Callithrix jacchus: one gene and its partner. The protein of the gene in region 1 purifies or fractionates together with the protein of each later gene. This does not show direct contact. Links are inferred from orthologs where the notes say so. Each region holds a gene or a part of one and is shown on either strand. Other genes may lie near its edges.

Region 1 (3,650 bases):
TTAGTAGAGATGGAGTTTCACCACGTTGTCCAGGCTGGTCTCAAACTCTGTCCTTGTGATCCGCCTCCCTGACCTCCCAAAGAGCTTGGATTACAGGCATGTGCCACTATGCCTGGCCTTTTTTTTTTTTTTAAACATTTTTATTTTATTTTTTTGAGACCAAGTTTCGCTCTTGTTACCCAGGCTGGAGTGCAATGGCGCGATCTCGGCTCACCGCAACCTCGGTCTCCTGGGTTCAACCAATTCTCCTGCCTCAGCCTCTCGAGTGGCTGGGACTACAGGCATGCACCACCATGCCCAGCTAATTTTTGTATTTTTAGTAGAGATGGGTTTTCACCATGTTGACCAGGATGGTCTCGATCTCTTGACCTTGTGATCCACCCATCTCGGCCCCTCAAAGTGCTGGGATTTATAGGCATAAGCCACCATGCCTGGCTTTTTTTTAACATTTTTAAACTTTAGTTTCTACTCAGTGACATTAGTTCTGTGCCTTGAGATCATTCAGAACAAGTGCATCTTTAACCCATAATAATCTTAAATATGTGTGGTTCTTTTTCTTAAGTTTATTTTATTGAACCCTTTATTACCTCTACCATTCTACTCTAGATTTTATCAAATTTCAGTTTAGTTCTGTTAAACTACACATCATTCAAAAAGACTGAAAGTACTTAACTTGTCTAAGCCTCAGTTTCACCATCAGTAAAACAGAGATACGTATATCTCATAAGGCTATTACAAATTTAGGCCAGGCACGGTGGCTCACACTTGTAATCCCAGCACTTTGGAGGCCAAGGCGGTGGACCATGAAGCCAGGAGCTGGTGAACATGGTGAAACCCCATCTCTACTAAAAATACAAAAAACAGCTGAGCATGGTGGCACGTGCCTATAGTCCCAGGCTTCAGCTGTTGGTCAGGCTGGCCCAACTCCTGATCTCAAGTGACCTGCCTCAGCCTCCCGAGGAGCTGGGACTATAGGCGCCCACAACCATGCCTGGATAATTTTTCTATTTTTAGTAGAGATGGGGTTTCTCCATGTTGGTCAGGCTGGTCTCAAACTCCTGACCTCAGGTGATCCACCCACCGCAGCCTCCCCAATGTTGGGATTACAAACGTGAGCCACCGTACCCCACCACAAAATGCTTTTTACATAACTCACCTTTCTCTATTTAACAAGAAAGAGATTATACGAAGATTTAATATGCACTATAGAGAAAAGTGGTTATATAATAAAAAAGTCCAACCTCAAAAAACAAAACCATGTAACACACCTTTCCTTTGTGCTTGGGACTTGTCTGGCCGACGAGTGAAGCATGATAAATGAGACCATACTTAGGGGTATCCCGTCTAGATTTGAGGGCTCTGAAAAGTGCCTTTTCTGCTCCAAGAATTTGAACTGTAGAAGCTGCATGCTTGGCCAAATTCAAAAGAGAACCTACAAAAGAAGAAAGTTACAAAGAATGCACTTCCAAACATCTGAATGTTCCATGTACTAAAACAAAAGACCTATAGAATTATTATGCCCACCATAATAAAATAAAAATCACATATAATACAGAATTCTTTAAGCCAGAATTCCCTAAAAAGCCTGATGTTTCGTTTCTAATTCCTTCATCAGTACAAGCAGGTTTGTGATGAATGCCTAGGGCAAACTGAAGGTTAAGCTTTTTAGTTCAATGTTTCTATTCACCCCAGAGATGGTAGTACTATTCTATATTCCATTAGTATACTACAGGAGTAACACAAATATGTCACACACGAGAACACTAATCTGGCCCCTATTTTCTGAGATTGTATTAAATATTCTATTGCTTTAGATATGAAAAAGCCTGGCCAGGCACGGTGGCTCATGCCTATAATCCCAGCACTTTGGGAGGCCGAGGCGGGTGGATCACAAGGTCAAGAGATCAAGACCATCCTGGTCGACATGGTGAAACCCCATCTCTACTAAAAATACAAAAATTAGCTGGGCACGGTGGTGCACGCCTGTAGTCCCAGCCACTCGGGAGGCTGAGGCGGGGGTGAGCCAAGATTGTGCCATTGCACTCTAGCCTGGGTAACAAGAGCGAAACTCCGTCTCAAAAACAAACAAACAAAAAGATATGAAAAAGCCTACAAACAAACACATTTATTAGGACATCTCGGTAGCATAACCCTATAATAAATTCACAACTTATTTACTTCTGTTGATTCAGCTGTGGATTAAGAAAATATATTCCTAGAAGTATACTAATAGTTCCCTATCTGTGGTTTCAATTAACTGTGGTCAACTGCAGTCTGAAAATATTAAAAAGGAAATTCCAGAAATAAACAGTTCCAAAGTTTCAAATCTCTTGCCACCGCACTCAGTCCCCATATTCAGATAGGGAGAATATGAATTATCCCTATCTACCCATTAGTCACTTTCCTAGCCCTCTCCACAGTGCAATATTGCAGTGCTTATGTTCATGTAACCAATGCAGAAAAATAGTGACACTGGGATATTGTCATAATTGTTTTATTATTACTGTTGTTGATGTCCTACTGTATCTAACTTATAAATTAAACTTTATCATACGTATGTGTGTTTAGGAAAAAACAGCATATACAGCACAGAGTTCACTACTATCCTCTGTTTCAAACATCCATGGGTGGGGGTGGGGGGGCTCAGAATATATCCTCATGGATAGCTGGGGACTACTGTACTAGTGAGTTATCAACATACTGCTTAGCTGGAAATGTTGTATAGAATATTTCCTGTCAGAAAGCACACTCACCATTAATGCTACAAACTTTACCATGAGACATATTTTTTAAAGTGCAACAAATACATACTTCTTTTTTTGAGATGGAGTTTTACTCTTGTCACCCAGACTGGAGTGCAATGGCACAATTTTGGCTCAGTGCAACCTCCGCCTCCTGGGTTCAAGAGATTCTCCTGCCTCAGCCTCCTGAGTAGTTGGGATTACAGGTGAATGCCCCTATGGCCGGCTAATTTTTGTGCTATTAGTAAGAGACATGTTGGCCAGGCTTGTCTCAAATTCCCAACCTCAGGTGATCCACCCACCTCGGCCTCCCAAAGTACTGGGATTACAGGTGTGAGCCACGGTGCCCAGCCAACAAATACATACTTCTATTAACCCCTGCCATCGATTAGTGCTACAACTTTAGCTGTATGCATGAAAACAGGTGAAGAAAATGAAATCATCTGATCTTACAGCTGCAGGCACTTGAATGAAACCTCTGATTAATGATGCAGCTAAAGAAATTATGCCAGACTGCACGCAGTGGCTCCTGCCTGTAATTTATCCAGCACTTTGCAAGGCCGAGGCAGGTGGATCACCTGAGGTCAAAAGTTTGAGACCAGCTTGGCCAACACAGTGAAACCCCATCTCAACTAAAAATACAAAAATTAGCCAGGCATGGTGGTGGGCGCCTGTAACCCCAGCAACTTGGGAGGCTGAGGCAGGGGAATTGCTTGAACCCGGGAGGCAGAGGTTGCAGTGAGCAGAGACTGTGCCACAGCACTCCAGCCAGTGCAACAGAGTAAAACTCCATGCCAAAAAAAACCCAAAAAAACAAAAAAAGAGTTATGCCATTTTAAACACTGATAGCATTTTAATTAGAGCCTGTCATCCTTATAATATTGCCATACATGTATACAAAGCTTTATT
Region 2 (3,750 bases), on another chromosome or scaffold:
TCAGGTTTATGAACAAACATTAAAGCACATAGGTATGCATGGCGGAATGTGAGAAGCATCTGTTTGGTATACACGAAGTGCCTGTTGTGTTTTCTGGTACAAGACCATAGCGCATTGGTGGAGAGAGATGTGTCGACAAATTATTCAGATACAAATGTACTAAATACGCAATGTAATTAGGAAAAAACCCGAGGGCAAAAAGAAAGGCGTGACAATGCTTCGGGGAATTTGGAATGGTTTTATTGTGTGACATGTTAGTTGGCCCTTGAAGGATAGGTAGAAGTTTGTTAGTTATGTTTAGAAATGCAACCAGAGGAAGCCCATAAGCCTGGAGCGTTAAGAAACTGCGCAGAAACACAGGCTGGTGGTTTGAGTATTGGGCTGTGTGTGTCAGATGCAATAATAGAATGAGAGGCTAGGAAGGCAGGTCGGGGCTGGAGAGAACAGGATCTGCAAGCTTCTTGTACATCAGAAGGCAAATATGGCACAGAGGTTAGGAGAACCGCTTCCTTCTAAGTCGCGCTCCAGCACTTGCTAGCAGTATGCTGCAGACCCTGGCAATGGGCGTACCCATCTGCAACTTGGGAAAATAGTCTTTTCCTCCTACGGATTAAATGACTGAATGGGTATCAGTCAGTTAGGGCAGCTTGCAGCTCACATTAAGCGCTAAATGAGAATGTACTGTCATTACGAAGATTACCACGCCAAAACTCGGTTTCTAGGAGGGTACCCCAGCCTCTTCCCTACTGCTACCGTTTGGGAAGAAAAGTCCTCTCGGGTCGGGCCGTGCCCACTCCCCACTCCTCCGTCCTCCTAGGCTTCCGACCTTTCTTCAGCGTGCAGGGCCCGGCCAGGGAGGGGGTAGATAGGCCTGGTGGGCTGCGGAGACGCGGCCGCTTACCGGGGCTCGGATCCCGCTCTTCGTCCTCCGCTGTTCCGCGGGCCTTGAAGCCGGGCGGCAGGGCCGGTCCGATCAGGTCCCTTGCCATCCGCAGTGGCGGACACTGGTCACAGATACGAGTCTATCCAGGTACGTCAAACCTATCCCAAAGTAATCCCGCGATCCGCAGAGAAGAATGGAAGGTTTCCCGGCGCCGACTGATGACGTAAAGTCTGTGGTTGGCTGGGCCGCGTGGTTTACGGCAACGGAAGTGACGTCTAATGCTTGCTCCGCAGTCGCGTGCTAGACTCAGGACCCGGCAGAAGGTATGGCTGAGCCGGCTGGTGATTTCGTAAGTCCTGCCGGGTGGCGTGAGTCTCCCGAGCTGACTCCCACGTTAGGGCCTCAGAGCGACACTGCCCTGCGGCGGGACAGCTGGATGCTCTGGACAATGCTGCCGCCGCCACCGCCACCGCTTACGTCTTCGTCTCCCTCAGCCGGGTCAAAGGCTTCCTCTGAGTCGCAGCCCCCCGCGGAGGCCCAGTCTCTCCCCGGGGCGCCGCCCCCCTTCGACGCCCAGATTCTTCCCGGGGCGCAACCCCCCTTCGATGCCCAGTTCCCCCTTGATTCTCAGCCTCAACCCAATGGCCAGCCTTCCTGGAATTTCCACGCTTCCACATCATGGTATTGGAGACAGTCTTCTGATAGATTTTCTCGTCATCAGAAGTCCTTCAATCCTCCAGGTAGGCTATTCCTCCAGGTGGGTCGACCCCTTTACCTTTTTTCCGTTCTTTCCTCTGCACTTTCCGTTTCCTCTCTCCACTCTGCCTTGCCTCTGCACTCTTGGAGTCTGGTCATTAATGTCTCAAAATATGTCTGACTAGAATGTTTCCCTGTTGCCTGTTAATTCCATTTAGCAGTTACTTACTGAATTCAACTATGTATCAGAATCTGGGTATATAGCAGTGAGCAGAACATACAAAAAAAATTCTTGTCTTTGTGGAGCTTAATATTAATATCTCTCGTGTGGGAAGACAGACAATAAGCAAAATAAAATATTGTGCATTAGAAGGTTATGAGTGCAGTGGAGTGAGATAAAGAAGAATGATAGGTAGTATGGGTTTGTTTTTTTTGTTTGTTTGTTGTGGGGGGTAGAGTGTCCCTACGTCTCTCCGGCTGGAGTGAAGAGTAGCGCGAGCTACTTCACTCCAGCTTATGCAACCTCTGCAGAGAGGCTCACTGCAACCACTGCCTCCCGAGTTCAAGCAATTCTCATGCCTCAAACTCCCGAGCTGGGATTATGGGCCCACGCTACCAGGCCCGGCTTATTTTTTATATTTTTAGTAGAGATGGGGTTGCACGGTGTTGGCCAGGCCTTCCTGGATCTCCTGAGTTCCGGCAATCCGCCCTCCTCGCCTCCCAAAGTGTTGGGATTACAGGCGTGAGTCACCTCGCCTGGCCAGGTAGTGCAGTTTTTTTTTTTTTTTTTTCCTGAGACGGAGTTTTGCTCTTGTTACCCAGGCTGGAGTGCAATGGCGCGATCTCGGCTCACCGCAACCTCCGCCTCCTGGGTTCAAGCAATTCTCCTGCCTCAGCCTCCCCATAGGTGGGACTAGAGGCGCGCGCCACCATGCCCAGCTAAGTTTTGTATTTTTAGTAGAGACGGGGTTTCACCATGTTGACCAGGATGGTCTCGATCTCTTGACCTCGTGATCCACCCACCTCGGCCTCCCAAAGTGCTGGGATTATAGGCGTGAGCCATCGCGCCCGGCCTGGTAGTGCAGTTTTAAATGTCATTTTAGTCACAAGGAAGGTGACATATTAGCAAAGACTTCAAGGAGGCGAGGGTTCACAACCATACATACATCTGGGAGAATAGGGGTACAGGCTCAAGGAACTGCAAGTGCAAAGGCCTTAAGGCTTAGAAGCTATACATCAGAATGGGAAGCAGTCTGGCTACAGAGGACTGAGCCTGGAGTGTGGAAGATGGGGGAAGAGGATAAGACCTGGTAGGTCTTCGTAGATTGTGGGACGTTGACTTTTACTGTCGTGAGGTGGATAGTAGAGGGGAGTGACATGATCCGATTTATGCTCTAAGAGGTTTAATGTGTCTGTTGATGGGAATTGACTGAAAGGAAAACTGGTTAGGAGCTATTGTAGTTACTTGTCTGAATGAGAGATATTGGAGACTTGGACCGGGGCGAAGCTCAAGGGATGGTGAGAAGTAGTCAGATTCTGGATCCAGGGATACCTTGGAGCTCTTGGGGGTTCAGTCACAGACCACTGCAGTAAAGCAAGTCAGACACTTTGTTTTTCCCAGTGCATATAAAAATTTTCCTGCAGGTCATATGGGGCAAAAAAGTTATTTTTACATTTTATCATAGTCTGTTAAGCGTGCATATTATTATGTCCAAAAAAAACTTATGTACCTTGATTAAAAAATACTTTAGGCTGGGCAGGATGGCTCACGCCTATAATCTCAGCACTTTATTTATTTTTTGAGGCAGGGTCTCTGTTGCCTAGGCTGGAGTGCAGTGGCGCGATCTTGACTCACTGCAACCTCTGCCTCCCAGGTTCAAGTGATTCTCCTGCCTCAGCCATCCAAGTAGCTGGGATTACAGGTGCCTGCCACCACGCCTGGCAAATTTTTGTATTTTTAGTAGAGATGAGGTTTCACCATGTTGACCAGGCTGATCTTGAACTGCAGTCCTCAAGTAATTCACCCTCCCTGTGAAGGTGCTGGGATTACAAGTGTGAGCCACTGTATCCACCCTCATCTCAGCACTTTGGGAGGCTGAGGCAAGAGGATTGCTTCAGCCTAGGAATCTGAGACCTGTCTGGGCAAGAAAGTAAGACCCCCATCTCTACAA

What was found. Proteins that work in one complex are often made in the same cells at the same time.
Region 2: the proteins of NOP58 (region 1) and NUFIP1 purify together in Homo sapiens (co-immunoprecipitation; 3 studies listed by BioGRID and IntAct, with this or other methods). This does not show direct contact. The link is inferred for Callithrix jacchus from reciprocal best matches to the Homo sapiens genes NOP58 and NUFIP1.

The regions. Positions count from the first base shown.
Region 1 is NC_133507.1:123,462,840-123,466,489, reverse strand, and holds part of NOP58 (nucleolar protein 58), read right to left. Parts: intron 1,433-3,650; coding exon 1,269-1,432; intron 1-1,268. UniProt on the Homo sapiens protein: Required for the biogenesis of box C/D snoRNAs such as U3, U8 and U14 snoRNAs. Part of the small subunit (SSU) processome, first precursor of the small eukaryotic ribosomal subunit.
Region 2 is NC_133506.1:164,198,182-164,201,931, reverse strand, and holds the start of NUFIP1 (FMR1-interacting protein NUFIP1), read left to right. Parts: upstream 1-1,172; 5' UTR 1,173-1,208; coding exon 1,209-1,623; intron 1,624-3,750. Other genes in the region: GPALPP1 (GPALPP motifs-containing protein 1), read right to left, coding at 902-989. UniProt on the Homo sapiens protein: Binds RNA.